Drosophila melanogaster: one gene and its partner. Each later gene encodes a partner of the first gene's protein in a complex. Each region holds a gene or a part of one and is shown on either strand. Other genes may lie near its edges.

Evidence for each region. Proteins that work in one complex are often made in the same cells at the same time.
Region 2: Nprl2 (region 1) and mio share a complex: the UniProt entries of both Drosophila melanogaster proteins name them as parts of the GATOR complex.

The regions. Positions count from the first base shown.
Region 1 is NC_004354.4:16,881,970-16,886,282, reverse strand, and holds Nprl2 (nitrogen permease regulator-like 2), read left to right. Parts: upstream 1-1,917; 5' UTR 1,918-2,042; coding exon 2,043-2,219; intron 2,220-2,281; coding exon 2,282-2,788; intron 2,789-2,876; coding exon 2,877-3,431; 3' UTR 3,432-3,599; coding exon of another isoform or gene 3,600-3,673; 3' UTR 3,674-3,764; downstream 3,765-4,313. Other genes in the region: DENR (density regulated protein), read left to right, coding at 55-316, 482-669; Polr3I (RNA polymerase III subunit I), read right to left, coding at 767-1,207, 1,267-1,419, 1,483-1,597, 1,675-1,682; CG4872 (uncharacterized protein), read right to left, coding at 3,600-3,673, 3,765-3,962, 4,033-4,313. UniProt on the Drosophila melanogaster protein: An essential component of the GATOR subcomplex GATOR1 which functions as an inhibitor of the amino acid-sensing branch of the TORC1 signaling pathway.
Region 2 is NT_033779.5:2,215,562-2,221,161, forward strand, and holds mio (missing oocyte), read left to right. Parts: upstream 1-1,728; 5' UTR 1,729-1,865; coding exon 1,866-1,983; intron 1,984-2,036; coding exon 2,037-2,210; intron 2,211-2,268; coding exon 2,269-2,520; intron 2,521-2,612; coding exon 2,613-3,543; intron 3,544-3,599; coding exon 3,600-4,155; intron 4,156-4,215; coding exon 4,216-4,697; intron 4,698-4,758; coding exon 4,759-4,849; 3' UTR 4,850-5,064; downstream 5,065-5,600. Other genes in the region: daed (daedalus), read right to left, coding at 1-664; CG15386 (uncharacterized protein), read right to left, coding at 1,014-1,247; CG42371 (uncharacterized protein), read right to left, coding at 1,265-1,398, 1,452-1,581. UniProt on the Drosophila melanogaster protein: An essential component of the GATOR subcomplex GATOR2 which functions as an activator of the amino acid-sensing branch of the mTORC1 signaling pathway.

The DNA.
Region 1 (4,313 bases):
TAGGGATCATATATGGCCCATATATTTACATATATATATATCCACTATACGCAGTACTGCGAGTACTATCCGGAGTACGAGAAGTGCAAGGAGTGGCTGGAGCTCCACATGCCCGATGACTTCGAGCGACTAAAGATTGAGGAGGAGGCTGCCGCCGCTGACGGGACGGATGACGACAAGAAGCGCCAGAAACGCGGTGGCAAGGGACTGTTGCGCGTCAAGAAGAAAGAGGACGTGCCCAAGCGTATCTGCGTCTCGCGGGCGGCACGTGGCAAAAAGAAGTCAGTGACCGTGGTCACAGGATTGAGCACTTTTGGTAGGTTCTGTTCGCACATTATGAGTATAGAGTAGGAAATGGAGGGGGATGCGGGCCCACTGGATGCTATGAGTAGCCATTACCATACCATGTAACTTAGATATATTAGATATACTTATGAGCTTTATTGTTAACTAAGCATAATACATTCCCTGTCTGTTCCAGATATTGATCTCAAGGTGGCCGCCAAGTTCTTTGGCACGAAATTTGCCTGCGGCTCCTCGGTTACCGGAGACGACGAGATCGTCATTCAGGGTGACGTCAAGGATGACTTGTTCGATGTCATACCCGAAAAATGGGCCGAGATCGATGAGGACGTCATCGAGGATTTGGGCGATCAGAAGCGAACATAAATAATTTACCTTTTTTTTTAGCTTATTTTATACGCTCCATCAACATAAATATATGAAACGTTAAACGTAATAAGCGGATGGGTTATTTTGGCGGCTGCTACCCGAGGTTTTCTCCATCTGGTGTCGGATTGGACTTGGTTTCCATTGAAGTGGGTGCATCCGTTGCAGGCGCTGTAGTGGCTTCATTTGCTGGAGTAGCATTATTTTCTGAAGACGATGTTTCCACTGGGCTTGCTTCTTCTGCTGGAGTAGTAGTAGTGGCTTCACTTGAAGGAGTAGCGACATTCGCAGGAGTAACTCCATCACCTGGCGTGGTTTTGTCCGCTGGAGCTATTTGTTCCGCTGGATTGGATTTTGCCTGGGCATTACGCTTTACGCCAGATTGCTTGCCGGCCTTCGCAGTGGACTCCGCAGGCTTTTCCGCCGGTGTTTCCTTAGCAGCGCCTTTGGTTTCTCCACCATGGAAGTGTTTGTAGCTCAGCTGAATGATTTTCTCGTTCTCCTCATCGGTTAGTGGAGCTTTATTGTCGTCGATGAGCTGGGGAGGTTATTATATACTTAATTAGCCTTTCTGGCATATGATAGACTAATCCTTACCAGTTGCGTGTGTAGTGCACTTGTAGGCGGATCGTTGATCATTTGCAGGATCTCTTGGGACTTTAGACGATAAGAAGACAGGTCTTTAACGTAATTCATAATGTTCTCACGAGTTTGTGTCTTGCAGGGCGACTCCTCCAGATACTGCAGTGCCTGTGGAACAAAGTGTTTGGTTAATTTATCATATATTAGTTAAATATTTAAAAAAATCGACACCTCATAGGTAACCGTGGCCAAGTTGCGCATGCCGAACTTCTTTTTGGTGCTTTTGATCTTCTGTAGAATCTGCATTACCTCCAGATTGGTGAGGTACGAGAACGTGGGATTGATCCTGAAATGGAAGCGTTATCATCTGCATATTATTCGCTGTTTAATGGAAAAACTAAATAAAAACAAAACAATCCTCACGTTTCCATTTCTGCAAATTTTAGTATGACCGCAGAGCGAGCGCTAAAATATACCCCACCTACGCATATTACAGTTGGCCTTTATATATTAACATAACAGATAATTTATACATGAATAAAACGATCTACTCAACAAATTAAATGGTGTTGAATTAATTTGTTGTTAAAATTTGTTATAATTGGTTTTTGCATTGGAGTATATTTGTTGCAGTAAGGCTATGGTCACACTAAAGCATCGCTTACCATAACATTACAGCGAATTCCGCCACTGTTATTGGATTGTGCCACCTGCTGTTAAAGCTTTGGAGTCCACTCCGCGGAAGGAAGCAGAGGATGTGGATGCGGTGATACTGGAATCTTTTGAACGGCATGCATTCCCATACGAATGAGACGGCTGCGACGTCGACAACGGCGGGCGCGGTCACGAATGGAGCAGGCGGATCAGGAGCTGGAGCAGCGGGTGCCCATGGCAGCACGGAGGGCAAGATCCGGTGCATCTTCCTCAGCGAGTTTCATGCGACGGCGGGCTGCAAGATAAGCTGCCAGGTGAGCTGGTTCCCAGGAGCGCTGATAACGCAGTATAGTTCGAACAAATCCACGTCCCTCAGGTTCCTGATAACTACATATCCAAGGATGTGTTCGATGCTATCAATGTTTACATCATACCCAAGCAGCATCTTCAACGCTGCATTCTCACCGTCAACGCAATGGATGTAAAGATAGTCGGCTATCCAGTGGGCATCCAGGATCAGCAGAAGTACGCACGGAATGCCTTCCTGTTTAACCTATGCTTTGTCTGCGACTCGCGGGCCAGGAGCGTCCAGTACGAGCCGGTCGTCAAGAAGCTGTCCGAGTACCTCATAATGATGGAGGAGGAGTCGTGCTTCCTGTCTCGCGAAGATGACAAGCGCCGCCTACAGAACATCTTTGAGACTGTACTACGCGACCTTAACGAGCGGAAGGTGGCCACCATTGTTGAGGGCGATAACACTATATACCTGAAGATCGTCATGCACAAGCCGGACCCGCCGCCGGTCAAGGATCACATGGTGCCCCTGCTGCTGGCGAACCTGCGCGATGCTCCGCTGGACAACTGGGACCTTACCACACAACAGGTGCGGACTATTCCTGATTCTATAGTTATACAATCTTCACGATGTAAATAATTTAGTAATCCCATTGGACTGTTATGGTTTCCTCTAGATCCTGCCTTATATAAATGGAATCAACCATGTTGCCCGCATTGCCGCCGAAGCGGACGTGGAAACGGACCTGGTCAAGTCGTGCATACAGAATCTGGTCTACTACGGGGTCGTTCAGCTGCTGCCAATCCTGAAGTACAGCAACGTGTACATGACGCAGAACCTAAAGCATCTCATCCAGAGCGCATCACTGAGCGGCGCATGCCGGAAATACGTGGCCTTGCGTCCGGACAAGACGCTGCCCAGTGTTCAGCGCATCTTTCAGTTCTACGCCTCGATGACTCACGGCGTTACTCTGCGAGCGATCTGCCAGAGATTGTGCCCCCAGCACCACAACATCGATGAGCGTCGCATGGTGATCTTCGGGCTGCAGCACCGATTCATTCGCTGCATCCACAAGTACCCGGTGTTTACGGGCTCAGTGCCTTCCGGGCGGCAGAAGATGTACACCGGGCTGATCAGCTTTGACGAGATCTGCTGCAAGACGGGCCTCTCGCCCTGCACCATCGAGCGGGATATCGAGAAGGACACGAATGTGACTGTGATCTGGAAGTGACGACCGGAAGGACTTCTCCGGCCAGTTGGGTTTGTTGTAGTTTGTAAGCGAACCGATTGTTATGTTTCCAAATGCTTTTTTATATACGCGCATATACACATTAAAGTTTAAGAATTCACTGGTTTGGCTTGGGCTGGTTCCGGAATCGCTTTGCCAGCTGGACAGCAATCAGGAATCCTTTGCGCTAGAGATAATGCAATCCTGAACCGCCTGGGCCACACAGGCGTCCTCCGAGGCCATGCCTTAAATAGGAAATGTATGAAATTTTTAATGATACAACTTTGAAACAGACAGAGATAGTCATATAGTTACACAAACTTAATAAAAACGCACCCATGGATTGAAAGATGCTGATTTCTAGCTCCTTGGGATAGTTTCCATCCAGAATGATCTGACCCACTTCAGCGGTGATCGGCGCAGGTAATCCCACCAATTCAGCCTCGGCATTGGCATAGCAATCCACGTAGACCTTGGCCTGCTGGTAAATCTTTGGAGCCACCTCCGAAAAGTGAACTTCGCCGGCTCCCACAGCTGAAATCGAAAGTTATAAAGGGTAGGTCATCATCATCCATCCAGCATTCCATTATAACAGCAGACCTACCGTTAATATGAACAGCCCGTTTGGATTTCAGATCTGCCAACTGGATAAGCGGCTCCTTGGAGTACGTGGCGATGCAGATGATATCGGCATCCTGGCAAGCTTCGTGAGGACTTGGACATACAGTAATCTGGGTTCCGCTCTCGGTGTTCAATTTCTGCCGCAGTTGGTCCGCTAAACCCAGTGCCTTTGCCTGCGTGCGATTGTAAAGATTAAGCTGCCTCACCCGGAAGTTCGCGCAGAAAGCGGCAGCATGGAGTTGTCCTTGAACTCCACAGCCCACG
Region 2 (5,600 bases), on another chromosome or scaffold:
TCTGGGCATTAGCTTCGATTTTCGCGAGATCCTTGGCAATCTCTTCGGTGATCTGATTCACGCTTTTTAGAGTTTCCTGGGCAAAGCAGCTGGCATATCGTTTGTCGCCCACCACGACGTCCTCGGGAGTGGAGACCTGCAGCTTGTAGTTGGTGGCCGCTAAAGAAGCGCGCAGGGACATAAAGTGGTTGCCAGCATTGCCCAGAATCTGATTGTTGTAGTTTTCGGCTTCAGGATGGTTGCAAATGTATTCGTAACTGGGATTCTGGTTGGGAATCTTTTCGAACATCTCCAGGAGCTGTTGCCGTTGCTTTCGACACTTGAACCCGAAGAGTTCCAAATCTTCGTCGGTGAGAGAGGCCAAATCCAGATAGTTAATGTTCTCGGCAATAAGTTTGTCCACACAGGTGCTGGCGTAGTCCGTTTCCACGCTGGTAGAGCACAGTAGACCGTTGAGGATCTCCCTCTCCCGGCGTGTGTCCCTGTGAGCCTTTTGGCGAACCCAAGGACGTCGATTGTAGCCCAGGAAAGCACTGTCCAATTCCTTCTGCTCGGTGTGCGAGTGAAAGTTCTTTGTGGCCTCAAACTGAATGGTCGGCGGAACCTTGGCCATCGCCACCAAGGGGACATCCCCCGCGGACATTGTGTGCGTCTTCGTTGCCATAAACTCTGTCAATAATGGCAATTAAATTACCATTAAAATGCAATTGCGCTTAGATTAGATTCGCTGTTAAGAATCGGACGTTTACGAGCACTGCGAGTAGGGGTGGTCAAGATTCCTAACAGATTATGTTAAAAGTAACAGAAGTAGTAAGGGCTCTGTAAACATTTAAAACGTGAATATTAACAATTTAGTAATTTTATTTCCTTTTTCCTATTTCGCATTCTTGTACGAATCGAATTTTCTTCTAATGAATCACCCTACCCAACCAATTAAGATTAAATGCTTAACATTTGTATTTAAAAAGTATAACAAATTGATAAATTGATGACGATTAAGCTTCCTAACTATCCTATTTCTCGGACGATGACCTGTAGATTGGGGCACTGGTGGTGGACGCCTCCTGGAGCTTCTTCATAAACAGAGCCTTTCGCTGCTCATCCGCACTCAGTTTGGTACTTGAAACGGAGGCTTTGATGCGCTCTAACTTGTCGACGTTCGGCTCGGTTAACACCATTAGGCCGTACCCCATTCCTCCGAAGCCAATCAGCCACAAAACGGACTTAAAGTAGGGATTACTAAGCATTTTGGAAGCGGTCTCCTCTAGTCGCTTTTCTTCAAAGCACTCCAATAACTCGCATCCGCCTGTCGCACTGTGCTGTCTCCGACGATTTCACCAATTTTGTAGTAATAGTCCAAAACGAAGGGATAGTTCTCGTGAATATGCTGACGAAACTCTAGGAGCGGATTGTTATTAACGATCAAAATAATTATATAAATATCCTCCCACCTCGATTCGTGTTCATGCGATAATAAACGCCGTAGCTGGCTGCGAAGCAGACTGCCTCGAGGACAAACAGTGTTTTGGCACTTCCTTTGATGAATTTCCAAATTGCAGGTTTTGGTGTTTTGCGCAGCATTTTAAGTGGGAGTTGTAAATATTAAACACGTTTGCTTTCTTACAAAAAAAAAAGGAAAACAAAATCACCTACCAGCTTATCGATAAAACGAATTATCGAACTGGGCCAGTGCTGGCTAACATGCGGCCAACAGCTGGTCGACCGGCTAGTGTGTGTGCGCCTCTTCTTCTTGCCATGTAGTGCAGTGTTTATCTCACGTTTTTGTTTTTGCAAACTGATAACGCGACGCAATTTAGTCTGTAGTGAAAATTGTTTTTTTTTACATCGATGGAAAATCGGCCACGATGAGCGGCAATACACACGGACTCAGCTGGTTTCCACATTTTCCCGACAAATTCGTATCCTGGGGCCAGGAAATCCATTTATACGAAGTGCGCCGCAAAGATGATCACAGCCAAAAAAGTAGGGTTTTCCCCAAGGGATTATGCCACTTTACTTAACCGCCCCCCTTGCAGGTCGCCTGCCTTATATATCCGTGAACTACCTCGCCAACGAGTCGCGCTATCAATATGCCCGCTGCGTGGCCGCCTCCTACCACAGTGACCAGCCCATAATTGCAGTGGGTCTGGCGGATGGCAAAGTCGGGATTTGCAACTTCCGGGACACCTACGACAGCAGCTGGGAGTACAGTGGGTGGACGACAACGCCGATTCTTAGCTGCATCTAATAGTTCTTCATTTCTCGTAGCACCGCGTCAGCAGCGCATGTGCACCTGCCTCGCCTGGAACGAGCTGGATGCCAATATCCTGGCCATTGGACACGATCGCCATCGAAATGACACCTGCATCACCATCTGGGACATTGAGCGTGGAGTTCCCAAGGAGACGGCCAACTTCTTCGGCGTCGGCGAGTCGGCCAACTCCATTTGCTGGGATCGAAATCATCGCACGGTCATTGCGGGAATGAGCCAGAAGATGATAAAGCTGTTCGATCTGAGGCGTGAGTACACATAATGCGACTGGTTATATTTCAACTACGTAGTATTACTTTATTGCCCTTTCACTGATGAAATCTTTAAATCCCTTTCGCAGAGAGTAACGCCACCTGTCAAAGCATTCAAACAAAGACAGTGCAGGGACTTTCCGTATCCCCCAATGGCAACTATCTCTGCAGCTATGTGGACTCGGTGATCACTCTGTGGGATCCGCGAAATATCAAGAGTCCCCTCAGGCAGATTCAGTCCTCGAAAAACCATTTGCAGATCGCTTGGTGTCCGACCAGGACAAGCCTGCTTTCCTCGCTGCAACGCGATTCCTCCTACATCACTCTCTACGACATCCGGAGTGTGGACACGGACAATTCCGGAGAGATCTACCACGTAAAACGACAGATTAGCCCCTTTCCGGCTAGATACCAGCACAGTGGAAAGTTTTCGTTTGTTAATTGCCTGTCGTGGCATTCGAGGGATTTCGAGAGAGCTCTGCTTTTGGCAGATGCGCTGAACATCCTGGACTTTCGACTGCCAGCCACCTTGCACACGGCGCACAGCAATCGCCGGAAATTGCCACTTCTGATGCAGCGTCCGCTCTACACACCCGCCTCGCCGACTTCCACTGCGGCCACGCCCACTCAGCAGCAGCCCACGAGCAGCTGCAGCACGAATAGCGGGAGTTCCCTGGACTTTAGCACTCCTGGTGGTTCGCCCTTCAATGTGGACCTGCTGAAACCGGAACTCTTTGAGCTGGATCTGGTGGACGAGACGCGTCAGCGCGCTCTAGAGGATTACGGCATCAAACCCGATAACAAGCGATTCGGCGAACTCCACTTGACACCGTATCTGCGAAATGTGTGGTCCACTTTGAACAATGTCTACAGCGAGGATCGACTGACGGGCTTAAAGGCCACTTTGGGCATTAACTTGGGACACACCTCGGAGGCCTTGATGGCCAGCTCCCGCATTGAATCTCAGGTGCTCCAGTGGCCAGAGGGCATCAACAACTCCAACAAACTGATATGCTACAGGTAAGTTTATATGAATTTGTGGTTTGACGAGTGTGATAACCCCAATCTTTATGCAGGAGTGAGCAGCGCGACCTGGCCCTCCAACTTTGCGGTTGGGCCTTTGAGCAGGAGCTGGATCGCTTTATAGACCAGTTGTATGCAAACAAGGAGTACAGCCGGGCAGCCATGATCTGCGTGTTCCACTTGAAAATTTTCCATGCCTGCAACATCCTATCGTCGGCGGCGGACAACATGAGGGATCCCAGCATGTACAGGATCACCGTCATCGCCTTGTCCAGTTTCAATGCAGATCGCTGCAGTTCCACGTGGCGGAATCAGCGATCCAGCGCCAACATGCAGATACACGATCCACACTTAAGGGCTGTCTTCTCCTTTCTAACGATGGAGAAGGACAATTTTGATGCAGTGCTCAAAGAGGAAGGCGTTTCGTTATCAGACCGCATGGCCTTCGCCTGCAAATATCTATCGGAGACCAAGCTGGCTGACTATGTTGCGCAGCAAATCCAGGCGGCCATAGATGGTGGCGATCTAAATGGCTTGTTGCTCACTGGAGAGTCGCAGGACGGAATCGATATACTGCAGTCCTATATGGACACCAGCTTCGATGTGCAGGTGAGCGTGCGCTATAAAAACATATGTAGAAACTTTGATATACATTGAGCTGTTTCTTAGACGGTAGCCCTGGTGGCCATTAACTACTTCCGGCAAGAGCTTTTCGAGGACAAGCGCATCCAGTACTGGATCGCCAGCTACTTGGATCACCTCAATAGCTGGGGCTTGTGGGAGAAGCGGGCCGAGCTGGACATCAAGATCGAGAGCATCCGCCCATCCTCCCGCAGTTCCCGCACCGTATTTCTGTCGTGCAACTTTTGCGGCAAGTCTGTGTCCAACGCCTTGCTGGACGAGCCGCGTCCACGGAGCACCACCACCAGCACCAACAGGCTCTCCTCATGCCCCAGCTGCCGGAAACCCCTGCCCCGCTGCTCGCTCTGCCTAATGCACATGGGCACAATGGTGAACATGAGCAATGGGGAGACCCCGACCACCACGCCCGACGTGCCCGGCTGGCAGACCAAGCCCTTCTCAAAGTGGTTTTCCTGGTGTCAGACCTGTCGCCACGGCGGACACACCGAGCACATCATGCAGTGGTTCAAGTGAGTTCAAAGTTACCAATATTTAATTGAATTCTGACCAATGTACGCGTTTATTTGCCAGGCAAAATTCAGAGTGCCCCGTGTCGTCGTGCAACTGCCGCTGCTTCGACATGGACGGCACCAAGCCGAACACATTGAGAGACATTTCCTAGCTGTCCGGAGCACCCACCATACACAGCCCTTACTCGCCCAGGCCATATGCATATGCATTAAGTTGTTGATTTGTTCCAAACGCGTGCGCCTTAAACAAACTCAGAAGTGTTCATTGTACTTAGACAAGGGATGTGCCCGTAGCATTAGTGTTTATGACCTACCAGCTTTTAGCTGCTCAATTGCATTTTATACTTACATTCAAATAAAGGACTATGTGCGACAAATTACTATAGATATTTCTCAGCTTTTCTTTTGAAAGTTGAAACCGTTATAGTTTCGTGTTTTGCAACACTTTCAGGTAGTACTTATTAGCATTCTTGTTGGAACTGATAACGGTCACACCGCTTCGCACGTTTTTATGCGGCGTTATTATTTTTTGTTGCTTTCTGACGTAAATGTGCAGAAAAAGTGCTTCCACTCGTAGGGCTTAAGTGAATGGTTAATAACATTATGTGATAACGCCTGAACAAACAAATCAAGATATAGTGAATAGATTAAACCAAAAGACAGTGCCGATACACAAGATATAATATAAAGACGGTAAGTTGTGGGTGGGGGTACAAATTTCCATAAAGCATGTGAGTGCTACGGAATTTGAGCACAGCACTTTAACTGGCAGTTAAGATTAAATATTTGTACATGATAGCTTTGAAAATAGCGATATTTAGTTACTTGACCTTTTCAACTCATTCGTGTCTACACCTGAGGCTTTTGTCCAATCTGAGTGCCCGAAAACGGGTTTCCCATTAA